Drosophila melanogaster: one gene and its partners. The protein of the gene in region 1 interacts with the protein of each later gene in a pairwise test. Each region holds a gene or a part of one and is shown in the gene's direction. Other genes may lie near its edges.

Region 1 (5,598 bases):
GTTTGAAGTTGGATGCCCCGATCCGCAGATACTCGCTGCCTTGCCACCTTGACGGCGGCAAATTAATGACATTTTGCACTTCATTATGCGACTCTGTGCGGCCGTTTGACACTTTGAAGTGAGGCACTCAGCTGTGGAGCAGTGGAAATCTGTGTGGGACAGTTAGCCTTTGCGGTTTACCTGCCAGGTGATGTGCAGTTAGCTTTTCCTCGGCGTTCCAGGGTTTGATGACACTATCCGCATTGTTGCAAATCTGCACTCTTCGAGGGCTGGCCAAGCAGAAGGTGAAATTGGCCATGGTCAGAATCGAATGATCATCGGCAGATGGCTGGCTAGTCGCACAATTGAGCTGTGATCATGGATCAAGATGATGGATGCACATATTTGAAATGTATTATAAATAAGAAAATTAAGGGTGTATTTAAAGAAAGTAATTCTGATTTAATACTTGGTGAAATCTTTTTATTGGCAGAAAATCCGATCAGAAACAGAATATTTTTGTTGAATATTATTGTATATTGTAGAATGCTTAAATATACATTAAAGAACTCGGGAGACTTAGCACTCTAATTATGGCAATCTCTAAAGGTTTTTTGAATCTTAAACACTTCATAAAAGATCAGTATCAGATTTTTTGATCTTAGAGTATTGAAGGCATAATTTGCTTACCCTGAATTAAAATTTCATTATAAAAGATGAGCCAACGAAGCATCAAAGACCGATTAATAGTTTCTCAATTCCAGTTAATTATAATTCAAAAATCACTTTTCAATGTACCATCAGAGAACATTTCCTATTGTTACAAGGATCACAACACATCCCGGCCAGCTGAGTTCGTTACAGGATTTTGGCGCCAAATACCCGTGGCATGGAATAATCAGTTCCAAGACGAAATCAGTTCCTTGTGGTACGTGTCACAGTCGGCAGATGTGGGAATAGATGATGATCGGGGGGTGCGACTCTCCTTGCAAGACGCTCGACGAGGGGTTGGCTAGAAAGTAACGTCCAAAACTGCAATTCCACCACCATCACCGGCTTTATTCCGACGAAGGTTGTCTGGTGATGCCGTGGATTTTGGGGTGGGACCACTGCGCCAGGTAGATTTGCACGAACCTCTCTCTTTTGGCGCATTCCAAGGCACTCAGCTCCGTTCGGAAAAATAAAGCCAGGTAACTGTCCGGGCACATGCCCATTTTGGGGTGGATTGGAGGTCGCTGGCAGATGGCGGGATTCTTTAATATCGGGAATTGAAATTTCATGGCCGTTAGGGGGTTATTTCTGCCGAGTGCACCGATACACGAGGAGGCGGAGAACCGGAACAATACTCTGGGAAAGGTTGATTTACCTTAGATCTGCGCGCTGTTTGTCCTGGTGATTAATATTTTTGTGGACGTCTAAGTGGGTACATTGCATTGTAGCTTGGCTCGATTTAATGGCGGAGCCAATGTCACGTGCTGATCCTACTCAGCTGCCAGCCGGAGAGGATCGCTCCGATAAGGATCAATTGGAATCCTAAGTGCTTCTTTTCTTCTGTAACAGCGTGCGATTTTATACAACAAATGAAAAGCTTTGAAAGAGAAAATAGAACAACTTTCCTGTACCTTTATTGTAATATCTTCTATCTTAATGATTTTAATTGAGAACGTTTTAATTATTATGGTATTTAAATATTTGGGCATAATTTCCTAAGTCGAGCCCCTGAAAAATCTTCACACTCTCCGATCAGCAAAGTCAGCCGAATATGTGATCGTTTAAGCTCAGCTCAGAAAAATTTGAATAGTAAACATAATAAGAAGCTTAAGAAAACACAGCTGAATTATCCTCCGAATAGCACAGAAAGCTATCTCTTAAGTTCGTGGGACGACTGACAGTTGGAACAAGAGCGCCCCAAAGAGCGAAGAGAGTTGAAAATTGTGGGGTACGAAACTTCTCTTGGTGGGGCTCCAAAGAGCATGCTCACCTGCTCACGAAGAGCAAACGTCCATTAGGCTTATATACAAAGCGATCGTGTGAGGCGGACCCGAAAGAGGCTTATAAATAAACTTGATCGGGTATATAGCAATAGCAAGCTCGCCACCAGCTGCCGCTCACTCATACCATTGAAATTCAGGGGAAATACGAGCTGAACCAGAGAGGCAGCTGGTGGCGATCGGCGAGTGGAACGGAGAGAGTCCCTGTGGCACGTGCTCGCTTTTTACACACAGATTTGTTCCTCTCGTCTCCAGGTCCCTCCCTCTCTCAACGATTCTCTATATGGCAGTGGTACCCCCGGACTGCCCGATCTGCAGCTGTATCTGCGTTCAATGAACGCACAGCTGTGGCTCGATCGCTGAATGGATCTTTTGGCTCGTGGTTCGGGGTGGATTTACAGAATCCCGGGCGACATCGGAAGTAGGTAGACGCCAAGATCCTTTTTGCCCAGGGGGTTGATCATCCTGCCAGGGGGTTGATCGGGAGTCTATAAAACCGGACTGATCCTTGCCGGGTTGCATCATTCGAGCAAGGAACTCCAAGCGATCGAGACGCGTGTGGCGAAAGCAAATGAGTGAGCAGTGATTTAAGTTCAAGGATCGGTATTAAATACAAAATCGAAGATCAGTGATCAGTAACCATAAGGAATAATAACATAGCAACCATGGATAAACTCAAGTACAGCCGCTGCCCGCTCAAGAAGCGTCCGATAATGGTGGAGGAGTCCAGCCCAGAGGATCACCTAAGTCATGGTAGGTTTAAGGCTACGGAAGTGATTTACAGGCATATTTTAACTTTATGCTGATTTCAACAGATGAAGGACCAGTGGACTTGAGTGTGGCCTCGGCTGCAGTGCCTATGGAGCCCCATTGGATGGCTAAATCCGAACCGGAACCTCAGCCGGTGCCCACGGAATTGAGGCGCCGCTTCGATGCAGCCATGAATCAGACCAAGGAGCAGTTGGCCCGTCGCATTTGGGAGGAAACCCGTGAGATAGCCCGCGCTTTTCCGGATGTCTTCACCCGGGAGGAAATCGCCAAGAGTCTTGCTCGCCTGGGTTACGGCGAGTTCGAGTTGCCACCTGAGGAGGAAGTAATGGAGCCGGAGCCGGAACCAGAACAGCATCTGCCTCTTCGATATACAAGAGATGCTAGCCCAACCATCATCAAGGCTGAACCCTCTGATGAGGAACAATTTCCCCTGCGAAACTACAATAACAACCTACTCAAAAGCATAGCCGAGTATGAGGACTGTATGAAAATGCAGAACATCAAAGAGGAGATACCTCCGATTCCATCACCCCAGTTGTTCTATCCACCCCCGACTCCACTGGCCGAACCGGAGGACCTATCCGTAACCCAGAGGAGAGTGCTGAGCGAAAACATGAATCTGCAGAATGTGGCCAGAGCTTTGCTGAGCATGCAACACATGGCTCCGCAACATGCGCCGCCTCCGATAGACATGGAAGAGGATCAGGAGAATCAGGACATCAACCAGCTGAAGATCAAGAGCAGCAATGATCTGTACTACCAGTGCCAGCAGTGCAACAAGTGCTATGCCACCTATGCAGGATTGGTAAAGCATCAACAAACGCACGCCTACGAAAGCACCGAGTACAAGATCATTAGAAGCCAGCCTGGAGGATCAGGTGCGATAGTCGACCAAACCGAGTTTTGCACGGATCAAGCTTCGGCTTTGATTCAGGCAGCTAATGTAGCCTCAGCACAGAGCATGCAAAAGCCAGTGGGAGTGCCGCGATACCATTGCCAGGATTGCGGAAAGAGCTACTCCACCTACTCGGGACTCTCTAAGCACCAGCAGTTCCATTGTCCGTCGGCCGAGGGCAATCAGGTGAAGAAGGTCTTCAGCTGCAAGAACTGCGACAAGACCTATGTGTCCTTGGGCGCCCTGAAGATGCACATTCGCACGCATACCCTGCCCTGCAAGTGTCCCATCTGCGGCAAGGCGTTTTCGCGACCATGGCTCCTCCAGGGTCACATACGCACCCACACGGGAGAGAAGCCCTTCAGTTGCCAACACTGCAATCGGGCCTTCGCGGATAGGTCAAATCTCCGCGCGCACATGCAAACCCATTCGGATGTGAAGAAGTACTCGTGCCCCACCTGCACCAAGTCCTTCTCGCGTATGTCCCTGCTGGCCAAGCACCTGCAAAGCGGTTGCCAGACTGAGCAGAGTGGAGGTCCCAGTGGGTCAGGAGGGGGCTTTGATCAGCAGCAGCTACAGCAGCACCTCCAGGTCTACGAGGAGGGACACAATCCACACCAACTCTACTACGCCGGCAGTGTGGGCAGCAGTAATGGTGAAGAGGAGGAGGGCGGGGAATACCAAATGCAACCACCGGCCATTTATTAATCTTAGTCAGTTTAGCCAAAGTCAGAAGTCAGATTCAGGGAAAAGTCAGTGCCAAAAATTAGTCAGGGCAATTTTATTGCCTCTTAGGGTCTCTAGTTTATCAGAAATATTTATTTAGAGTTATCGCTAAATTATTCCAAAACTCATATCGCAGTTGAGAGCTTAGCATTAGATTGTTTTCGTTGACAATTCCTTGTATTATAGTTCGTTGTTAAAACTCATTCGTGTACAAATCAAAAAGGTGCCAGATAATTAAGCCCCAATTCATACGACATACCTACCAACTTATAATTTAATCTTATAATTTATTTTACCTTAAACATTATGATTTAAGCCTTGTAAATATGGTGAAGGTAGCCATTTACTTGCATGTATTTAATTTTAATTTTTTTAAATAAATAAAACACAAGAAAACAGAAACCACCAACACATTTAGTTTTTTTGAGTTGAGGTAAACAAATTAATTTCCCTCATTCTATTACTTTACCTATCGGACGAACGGTTCGAATCGCATCGCAATCTAAAAGATGCCATCTCGGATATGCATTGTAGGTGTCGTTTATTTATCGCTGCACTCGAAATGAAAATCCACAGAAATCGAGACATTCAACCGTCAGGGAGACTCGATGGGGGGTTACAAAGAGCTAGGAAAGCAGTCTATACATATGAAGCCGTTTATATGTATGTATAGAAATGTATTGAAAATCGCTGCTTAAATCAAAATTAATTGCCAGAATAATAATTGTTTTGAACGTAAAGCGCCGAAATGCAAACGGCAAACCAGAGGAGAATTGGCGCAGCTGCAATTGCAACTGCAACTGCGACTGCGTCACCGTCAACCAGCAACACTGCAACTAGCAACATCAACAACAGCAGCAGGCGGCAAGCGCCAACAGTCTAGTATTTTTGTGGGCCTGCTGCAGTTGGCGAAATCCACTCAAAACAACAAACCAAGCGATGAATCATCGATTTTGTTTTCGGTTTTTTTTTTTCTTCTGTTCGTGGCAAACTGAAAAAATCAACAAAGCCGGCTTTTGGTGCAGCCGCACGCAGCTAGATGGCGCTAGTGGGCAGCCAGGTTGCAGGCAGGTAAGCTCAATTAAACGCGTTTTTCAGTTGCGCCGCTTTTCCGCTCTACAGCCCAGCCGCACCTTACTTTATATAGCGAAAAGAACCCCACCCACCCTGCATCCTCATCTGGATCTCAGGCAAGCCGCTCAACTCACTCGCATTATTATAAAAGCCGTCCACGCA
Region 2 (5,165 bases), on another chromosome or scaffold:
CATTGCCAGAATATCCAACAACAAAAGATGCTTTTGTACAGAGAAAAAAAAGATGTTAAAAACGTTTTGAATAAATAAATATTCCTTTGGTTGATCTCTAAAAATTCCAGGAATAATATGTCAATGAGGCATATTGTTTCTGTGGAATTTTCATTTATATACATATGTATGGTTTAGATTGATTTTTAAAATAATTTTTGTAAGTATTCTAACGACACGAAACCCAATAGCATAATCAAAACCCCAACTGCGATTAAAAAGATTGACTTGGACTTAATCAAAGTAGATCACGACTACTTAAAAGTTTATTGAACTGCATTTTTTTATGCATTCAGAAGGTGATGATGAAATTACAAAAAAGATGCCCCAATTGAATTTAAGATACGCATAGACTTATTACGATATTGCACTTATAACACGTGTGGCAGCCTAAGGGTTAAGGTTAACTGAGTCCAGATAAAAAAGCAAATACGCAAACGGGTAAAACAAAGTTAAAAATAGAGATGGAAAGAGGGAAGCTGCTGATACAACAAAAGGCAGTGCGAATTTCGATTGAATGGGCACAGAGAATTACATTCGATGCGGAAAGAAAAAGCAGAGCGCCAAACTTGACACAGAAAAGCTCCTATACATACTTGCAATTTCCTACACACGAAATAAAAAGTTATCAAACGAAATGGTTAGATAAGAGATATTAAGTGCAGGAAGCCCACTTAGTTAAGTGGGTGAATGTATTATTTTATATTTCAATAACAAAACAAAAAAAAACCTTTTTTGGACTTTGTTTTACCTTAAAATTATACGTTTCATTCTTAATTCATTTGGAAATCTCACACTTTACCCTACATTTCTTTGATTTTGATGTAAAAATAAACTTTAGCTACATACATAACTAGTATTTTTTTCAGTGTGTGAATTTGTGTATCCTTTTTGTGTTGTCTTTTCCATGTTTCCTTTCTCCGCTCTCACTGCCTCTCACCTCTCACTCACCCTCTCTTGTTTTTCCTTTATCAATGTCAGAGAGCGTGCGTACACACACGAACACAACTGCACACCTACACCTACGAATAGATAACAGCAACAACAACAAAGGGTGGTACACAAAAATCGATGCAACATATTTTTGGGCCGCCCAATGTCACGGATGTTTTTCCCAACTTTTTAATGTGTTAAGCTAGTAGATAATTTATTATATATCCTACAACTTACAGAAGGCGGCCACAATGCCCAGCAATCGACTTCCATATTTGAGATACCACGGCTGCTCCGGTCCAATTGGATCTTGTTGATTCGGCCGTGCCAGCAGACCCGTTATCTTTTCCGCAAACGACTGATCCGGGAAATAGACGGAAATAGGGAGAAATCGAAATGCAATTAGGAAAAATCGAAGCACAATTTTGTATTGTGACGCGGCGGCCGCTTTTTTTAACACGCACACATTGCCACGACAAAAACACACACACCAGTTAACGCGCGGCTCACATGCATACACACTGACACCGCTCACTGCGTCAGCATTTTATCTCAGTCAATCAACAACTACCTACCATGGCTATTTATTTAGTTAGTTAGCTAGGCTTAAACTAATTCGAACAATTACTATTTGCACTTTTCACGTCACACGGAACGAAAAAAATCCTGTTGTACTTTGCGTTCTGCTGCACGCGAACCGAACTAGATCGCGATTCTGATGGCCGATAGAGCCTATCGATACTCGGAAGTTATCGGAGGCGAATGGAACTAGTTTCCTGGTATCCTGGATTCACTACAACATTTTTTAATTTTTAAATTTATATTGCAATTAGTCAACTTCTTACTTTTTTCATAATTATTTGTATTTTCTTGTTTTGGGTTTCGAACATTCAAATAATTACACAAATACTTTTTTAGGTAATGAAAAAACTACAGTCTAAACTTGTAAATTGGTTTTTGTTCGATTATGATATTAAACAATATTTTCCGGTTCTCTTAGCAAATGTTAGGCAAATTTGTGTACATTGAAAGCTTTTATACCGTTCAATATGCAGGCGGCATCTTTAGAAAATTCACTTCGATCTCAGATCGTTCACCTAACTCCTAAATCTGAACAACTATCTCTATTCAAATCAATCAAAATTAATTTATTTTTAGATTTGCATAAATTTCTAAGTCCGTAAATTAAAAATCGATTAATTCAATTGCCTATCGACATTAAGCAGCTCTGCATTGTATCGATAAATTAAACATCTATCGATAGTATCGATTAGCAGACATCGAAGAAATCATTGATTACTTGCCTTTTATTAACTTGGTTTTTGGACCTCCTCGAAAATATCAGCAAAATGACAGAAGCGGAAATTTGCAAACTATGCAAGGATAACCGAGCAATTGAGATCGATCTCGAGAAGCCCAAATTCAAATCGGCCAATAAACTGCTGCAAAGACTTTTCGATTGGTACAAAATTGATGTAAGTTCTGAAAGTGAGTCCAATGGATGTCAAATGCAAAGAAACCCACGTATTTTAGGCTGCTATCCTGGGGGAAAATTACTGCATTTGCGAGCCCTGCTTTGGAGAGACTTTGCGCATAAGCGAATCCCTGGAGAAGTGGGGCACGGCCCAGGACGAGTTTCACCGGAGGCCCATCGAAATAGACGACTCCACTGCATTTCAGATCAAGTTGGAGGTGACATCAAACAAAGAAGAGGTAGAAACGGAAAAGAATGATGAGGAGAATTCTTTCGATCAGCATATCGCGGAGCCAGTGAAGGAAGATCCATTGGAAAAAAACGAGCATATGGAGATCGTAGTCGAAGAATCTTTGAAAACCGCGTCCGTGGATTTCTTCAGCGTGGGATTGTCACGCGATGGCTTGGCAGTCACCAAGTTCTTCAAGGACAAGACCCAAGCCACTCGGATGCTGTGCACCTGTTGCGGCCATGTGCTCGAAATCCTGACCCACATACGCATGCATTCTTGTAAACCCCGCCCGAATCCGGTCTACTATTGCCGCGATTGTGGTTCAGAGTTCCACAAACTACACGAACTACATGAGCACATGAAGACGATGAAACACAACAAGACCATGTGCGGCGCAAAGGATTTGGAATTTCTGTGCCTCAGATGCAACCAGATATTCCCACGCTATTTCGACGTTATCCGCCACGAGAACAGCGTTCACAATGTATCCGATTTCATCTGCGTGGAGTGCAACATGTCCTTCGCTAACCAAGGATCCTACAGGAGGCACACGAGGAGCCATAAAGTCAAATTCACGCAGCAGCGATTTTATGAGTGCCCATATAAGGACTGCACCTCAAGTTATCGAGTGTGGGCGCGCTTAATGTCGCACATGAGTTCCCACGGCCTCTTTTCTGGATTCAAAAGCAAAGTGCCGTCTACCCAACAGGAACGACGTCTTCTGGAGGGCAAGTTTATGACGCTGGACCCCATGAAACGGGTTGAACCCGATCGCCGAAAGTTGCCATACCGCAAGAAAAGCTTTTACGCTAAGGCAGATTTCCCGGAATCCCCGACGAAATGTACCAACGGAGGAGAGTTCATCAGCCTGCCCAAGAAAATTTCCCTGCAGAAGGGAAAATACATCAATCTTTCGGACAATTCAAGACCTTAGTTACCAACTAGGCTAGCAAATAATGGTAATCTTGAAAACTGATTAAATTGTATAAATTAATATTTCCACTACTGTGTGTATATTATTAATTCTTAGATAGCCAATTTTAGTATAACTTTTTTGTTATTAAGAAATTTACCCCCGCGTTGTATTCTTTACAATTGTGAAAAAAGGCGGATAAAACATACTTCCGTTTTATAATTTCTCTTCGTGGATAAACGTTGAGATGAAGTGTTTTTAAACCCAATAGAAATAAACAATCAGTTTTAAAACTTGGTACATCAATTTATTGCCGGAAATTTTTGGGGGGAAAACGTTGGAAATATATATTGCCACAAATAAGTTATTTTATAATCTTTTTACGTTACAATTGTTCTTGATTGAAGAGTTAACTTGGATTTTGTATTTGCTTGTTTTGGCATTAAATTCTACAAATTGTATTTTTGATATCGTATGATTTTGAAGGAGGTGCTTACACTAGAATAGAATTGCTCAACCAAAGAATCTGGATTACTTTCCACTTTATTTTCAGGAAATCTATTCTTGTGCATCCACGTCCTCGCTTTTGTTTTGGACGTGTTTACAGATTTGTTTTTTTTTTTTTTTGGTTTGTCTATGTTCGATACAATGGTTAAAATGCATAGCAAATTTAGCTTGGAGCCAGTACTCGGATCACTCCAATCGTCGGGCGGTTCTGACTTTCAGGTGTTGGCAAGATTTCAATATAGCGCAAGTCCTCACGCATCCAACATTCACTTAGACTTAATGTGGTCGGTTGTTGTTCCAGGAGCCCTTTACTAAAGTTAATTAATGCTATGTCTATGGTTCTTCAAAAAATGAAAGTAAAATATAATGTGTGTCTCTGGATTGGTAAAATTGTAATGGGATTGCAGTTCATCAAATGAAGAGTCGTTTTTTTTTCTGTTTTGGGTTCATATTTAAATTGTTGCACTTTTGAGTTTCTTTCTTCGTTTACAACAAAATGTTACAATATTTTATTCTTGGGTTTGTTGAAATTTTCAAGCTGTGTAAACAACGCTGTTCTTGTAGTTTGATATTCATTGCTTGATGGATGATAAGTTTGATGTTGTTTGTCACTTGGCCCAGACAAATGACCAAAGAAGTTAAGTTCGTTTTGGTATTGAGAAGAAAGAAGGCATTAAATTAGGATAGAAAGACAAGATTATCAATTTCATTGGGCATTTGTCTGAGGCTGGAAACGGATCTTGAGTGTTTCCAAAAAAATAAAACTTTAAACTATAGGCTTTTAATAAAAATGAAGTATAATCCAAATCCAAATAAGGAGAGAAGTGTTTAAAACAGATTTGCAGCTCATTAAGTAAACATATAAAATAAAAGTTAATATGGCTTTTCAAAAAGCTTTAAAAGTCAATGGTAAAAGATTTAAAGCAAATGCAAATTTCTTACTGTTTTCGGCCGATACGCTTAGAGAACTACTTTCGAATTGAACACAAAAGGCCGAGTTACAGGGAACTTCTTTTGATTTTCGGTGATGTAAACCTATTGGCTCTGATGTTACCACCTTGGAGACA
Region 3 (5,719 bases), on another chromosome or scaffold:
AGAAAAACAATTTTCAGTGCCAAAAATAGTGGGTACTTTTTCATCTCACTTTAAATTTTAGATTAAAATAATTTTAATAATCAAACCCAAATTTAAAATATTTTTTTTTTGGTAATCAAAAATTAAATAGAACTTTTAAAAAGATTTTGTTGCGTAAGATTTATGGCGATGGTGACAATGCTAAATTATAATATATATATACATATATTAAAAAAGCGAAACTATTGAAATCTTCTTAATGACTACAAAGTCAAGAGCAAGAGAAAATTACTTTGTATTCTTACTTCGAATGTACTTAGCACGGAGAGGCACATCAATATTAAGGAGTTTTTCTACAGCCAGAGAGTAGCATTGCTCGTTGCACATCATCGAGACGTAGTCCAGCCGGTCAAAATACGGCAATGCCTGGGTGTATGTCTTGTACTCTATGAGCTTTTCGGTCCCACGGTGCAGCAGCCCAATATGCGGATCGGCACGCATAACGGTCTGCAATAACAGAGGTTTTAATTTACACAAGACCTGTGGTCGATTAACAGCTTAAACCTCTCCATCCAGCTCCAGCACAAGACGAAGGACTCCGTGGGCGGCGGGATGTTGTGGGCCGAAGTTCAAGGTCAGATTACGCACCGACTTTTCGACAGGCGTTACTTTGCCTAGTAGAGGAGGTAAGTCAAGCGATTAGTTCAAGGGTCAGTTTAATATTGGGTTACCAACTAACTGTTCCATGGTGGCACTGTCCAAAGTGATGTGACCTCGTCTGGATACATCACCGGGCCGCTAAACTGCTTCATGAACTCAGGGTCTGGATACCACTTGGCTGCTCCCCGTCGCGTCTCCTGAGAACTAAACAACGAGTTTCCAATTGGACAAATATAAATGATATATTCGAATTATGTAAGCATTTACTATTTACGTTAACGCGGCCGATCCAGCTGCAACAAGTTGTGGCCGCAGCCTCAAGTGTGAAAGTCCAGGAATCAACGTTCTTCTCATTATATTGGCCATCCTGATAGTCAAATTCCTCTATTTATGTTTCTTTAGTAACAATTCAGGAATCTAATACAACCAAATAGTTATCCGCAATCGGAATTCTATCCAAAAAATATCGAAAATTACTTTAAACACCGAATCTCGTACAGCTTATATACTATTTACACCAATAATATATCGCAGGTTGTTGCTTCATGAAAATGAAGTGCAAAACACATAAATTCCCTTATATATATTACACACTTTGTCATCCTGCTCGTTTACCCAAGTTTTTATTTATCTTTATATAATGTTATAAACAATAATTGCAATTAATTTTTCGAAGACCTGAATTTTACATCATCCCAATGAAGCGAATTTTGCGTTAATGGAGCACTATAAAAATATAATTACTAGAGATAATAATGATAGCTTCTGCAAGGCTAAACTTATATATCTTAGCAGTATCTCAGCAGAGCGAATGTGGACATTTAATGACTAAAAACAACGAAACTATTTAAATTCTTTAATTAACAATTGATTTCTGGACTTTTCGTCCGATGACTAAACTTAAGAAAACAAAATTATGAAAACTCTTTTAACTTGAACAAAAATTTTATGCAGTCAAGAACCGGTGCTAAGAGATAGTAACGTAAAAACGGATGATCGGACAGACGGTAGTGCTGACTCGGCTCTTGATACTGACCATATATATATTTACTTCAAATTCTTAACTCTTTCACTGGGTTTCAAACTTCTTACACCAATCAAAATAGGTTCGACACGGGTAATAGATAAATTTTAATAATTATAAAATTATTCTTAAAACATAAAATAGTGCTTAAGCCTAGCTAAAAAATTTACTAGGAACTTACATAATGGTTCTGCTACAACAAATGTCAAATAAAATCTTTATAAGACAGTTTCCTATCAATATGGTATGGTTTTTACTGTGAATATTACTTATAGTAGAAATTCGCATATGTTAAATTCAAAAAAAAAAAAAAAAACCAAACCATTTGACTTATATTATAAGATTATACGGGCCTTTGGAAAAAAATCGCTATCGATTGATTTGTAAAATTATCGATGCCCTTAAGTTTCTTTATACATCGAAAGTTAAAGTAAACATCGTTTTTTGTTCCAGCTCTAAACAAGTTTTTTTTATAGCTCTAGCTCTACAGTATTTATATAAATAATTCTTGTATGTAGTCCAAGTGTAGAAAAAACTAATTTAAATGAGCTGTTTTCGAGTATTTCTCTTCAGACAAAAACCTGTTTGGAACAATTTTTAATCATGTGAAAATGTAATTTTGAAAAAGATGTACCAAAAAAGGAAGACGGTGTTATGGGCATATATGTATATTTTGTGTTTTTATATGTCAACTATGTTATACCAACATATTTGTACCGGATTGTTAATCGTATCGAATAAGAATGTTTCCCCGAGAGTAAGATGTTTGTGTATATATAGAGTTTCTTCTGTCTCCTCGGAGAGTGTGTCGTCACTGTGTATGTATACAGAAATGTCTTTTGGTGTATACATACATATGTAATTGTATAATGCTGTTGGGATGTTTTATCACTTAAACATACAATTTTTAAGAAATATATTGATTGTTCCGTTATAAATTGAATGTCAAGAACTGCAGATCCGCTATATATTGTTGATCTTATGCCATGTTGATTGTTTATGACTATGAATGTTAAAAAATATATTAATATTTCGCCAAGCCATTACCAACCCTGTTTGTATAGAAAATGTACCATACATGTATTAAAATGTAGTATCCCACTTAAATTGATAATTGGTTTGCCGGCCTGTTAAATAAGTATTTTTGATCAATCAGGGTCGAATCAAATCAATTAGGCGGTTTCCAAAGTTAAAGCGAAGTACTTTTAAAAATCTCGTAATCTGTCAGGTGGCGGTAGTCAACATATAAATATTGTTGATCAGCATTAACAGCTGCTTATTTCGCCGACTGCCGCCGAACGCGGCGCAAACAGGATCCCTCAGTCTTAGGCTGTTTGTTTTAAAGATCAACTTGTATAAACTTTACATAAAAATATAAATACGCATAATATGCTACTGTTACATTAAAATGTTAACGCGTAATGATCTCAAAGCTTAGAATGAGTAGATATAATATGTAGTTAGATTTTGCAATGGGTAAACTAATTTCAGTCAGGATTGTCAACGAAGTAAAGGAGGAAATGTCAATAGAAGAACACATATTCTTGATCAGTTTACACAGCCATGTCGATATATTTTTTGTCTTTCTTTCCGTTTGCCAAACGACCTTCGAATTGAAGGTTGAAATCCTTTTATTTTGTAGTTCATATACATATACGGGTCGAAAAAGAATGCCGTTAAAGTATTGTTTCTTTTTTAACTGCCTAGTAAACTTTTTGACGAGATAAATTGAAAAGTATAATTCCGCTCTAAAAAAGTCGGGTTAAATTTTCTAAGAACCCTAGGTATTATATCAATTTCATTTTCAGTATCAAAATTTAATCTTGAAGAGGTGAAAACTAAGTCTACGTTAAAAAGAATACTAGACCTAAATCACAGATGAAAAAGAAACAATAATTTAACGGCCTTTTCAATTTAATTTTTTCGGATTGTTCCTATATATGCATATATATTTATATAGTGATATATATGCACAAAAGTTGTATTATTTAACTATTGTCATCAAAAATTAAATTGCACCTGACTTTATAACGCACTACATATAATTTACTCATTTATAAGAAATCTTTTAAAGGGTAAAGTAAACAACCAAACCGCATAGTAGTCTTTAGTCTGTTGGTGCGCTTCGTAACTATACCGTCCAAAGTGAGAAAATCATGTTACAAGTTACACTGCAGTTTCAGTGTTTTTTTTTTATGCCCAGAATTCGTACACGGCTACAGCGTTTTGTTGTAAAAATTGTTATTTTATTGATTGCAGATGGAGCAAGACACTTTGGTGCGGAATGACACAGATGTAGATGTAGCCAGTCAACATATTCTTATTTCGGAGGTTTATTGTATGCATTTAGCAAGAAAGCTACTAACGATCTAACATCGAAAACATTGCTGGCGGTATGCAAGAACGATCAAAGCAACTGCGTCTTACTGTTTCCTGGACCCAGTCAAAGTCTCAGATTCATGACAGTTGTCAACGTCGGAGCATGTTGGCATGTAAGAGGCGCTTAACTACCAGTAAAGTGCTTGAAGACTCACATCCACCAGTAGCTTTCCCCAATTGCAAATCTCACCGGCATCAGCAACAAAAGGAGAAACATAAAGTTCAGCTATACTCTGGAAAACCTTTAAGCATTAAGCTGTACGTGCCAGGAAGTATTGAGAGTATCCCAAAAATTCGACATAAGGCGCTTACGACAACGAATAAACAGCAACCAGCTATGCATCGAAAGTCTAAGAGCAAAAGCAAGTTTCAAGGTTTTAACAATCTCAAGCCGCTTTATTCACCGAGTAAAAGACAACCACCCGAGAAGCATTCATCAGTACTGGTGGAAGCAGGGATAGAATCAAAGGCATCACGGCATTTTGTTGGTAAAAAGAGGATTAAGAACAGAAACTGTTTGTTATCTTCGCCTCAGCCATCGCCAATGAGATGCAAAATGATGATTCCATTTCCAAAGTTTGGTGCCACATCCTTTGTTACGTTGCTCACTTTAATTTGTATGGAAACTGTTTTGCTCTCCACCATGTCTAGTTGCGCCAAGACTTTTTACATGCATTGGAACACATCGAACAGTATGTAAGTACTCAAATATAGTGGTATACTTAAGCAGCGGTATTATAATTTTATTGAAGTTAAAAATTGTAGATTTTTATTTTTCTCTACAAATGTATTATGTTTTATTACAATTATTACAGTTTTTAAGTCAGTAGTATGAGGATTATTATTATTCGTTTAGGGGATTTGTTATTTCAAATAAAATTTTCTTTCCAATAATAAGACTGCTGGCCAATAATATATTGATAAATTAATCCCTAATGTCGCGTATAAACACGCTGGGCTTTTATAAACTTTCCCAGCAATTAGTAATGCACATGAGTCATTTTCGATAGAATAACTATTGTCATAATTTGTTGTGCAAGTGAGCAGACGATGATTAGGCGATCCCATTGATCCCTAAGGATCATGATTAGTAACTTTTTTGGTAATCGCATCAGGGCATATATGGCCTACTCATTTTGTCTGGTTTTCTCTTTCTCGATATAAACATATCCATATCATCTATACCATCCATATTGCAATGGGACATTAAGTTTGTTAGGATAATGTTACTTCCAAAATCGGACAACAAACCCCAAAAACAGAAGACAAATGCACGTTTTCGTAGCCAAGGCATTAAACAATAAAGTCTAGATCAGATAAAAACAACCCAATTTTCCATTTTCAAAATGTTAACTTCAGCATTTTCATAAACTGTTGCTTAAACTATTCTGTGCGAACTATTTCAGCATTTTCCAAATCTAAAATTATATATGATATGTAGTTCCTTGAACCCTACGCGTTCAGTGCTCATCGTTACTATGTGTGATGTTTTGCACATTAATTGGCCCAAATTTGGTATTTCGATTTGCGCTTATTTATTGAAAATCGTTTTCTGACTTTCTCAAAACAAAATGTAATTTGATTGCACTCTTATATCCACAGATTTCGGATTGATAACACAGATCATATTATCGATGTTAATAAAGGCAATCTTGCATTTGAGTTCGATCAGGTTCA

The links.
Region 2: the proteins of wor (region 1) and CkIIalpha-i1 interact in a two-hybrid assay, tested with the Drosophila melanogaster proteins (one large-scale study listed by BioGRID).
Region 3: the proteins of wor (region 1) and Ephrin interact in a two-hybrid assay, tested with the Drosophila melanogaster proteins (one large-scale study listed by BioGRID).

Annotation. Positions count from the first base shown.
Region 1 is NT_033779.5:15,422,468-15,428,065, reverse strand, and holds wor (worniu), read left to right. Parts: upstream 1-2,485; 5' UTR 2,486-2,635; coding exon 2,636-2,723; intron 2,724-2,785; coding exon 2,786-4,344; 3' UTR 4,345-4,769; downstream 4,770-5,598.
Region 2 is NT_037436.4:15,814,727-15,819,891, forward strand, and holds CkIIalpha-i1 (CKII-alpha subunit interactor-1), read left to right. Parts: upstream 1-2,252; 5' UTR 2,253-2,321; coding exon 2,322-2,447; intron 2,448-2,505; coding exon 2,506-3,612; 3' UTR 3,613-3,895; downstream 3,896-5,165. Other genes in the region: fwe (flower), read right to left, coding at 1,210-1,330, 1,548-1,550.
Region 3 is NC_004353.4:569,691-575,409, forward strand, and holds the start of Ephrin (ephrin), read left to right. Parts: upstream 1-2,064; 5' UTR 2,065-2,481; intron 2,482-3,922; 5' UTR 3,923-4,058; coding exon 4,059-4,738; intron 4,739-5,644; coding exon 5,645-5,719. Other genes in the region: ND-49 (NADH dehydrogenase (ubiquinone) 49 kDa subunit), read right to left, coding at 285-486, 544-653, 719-843, 914-1,005.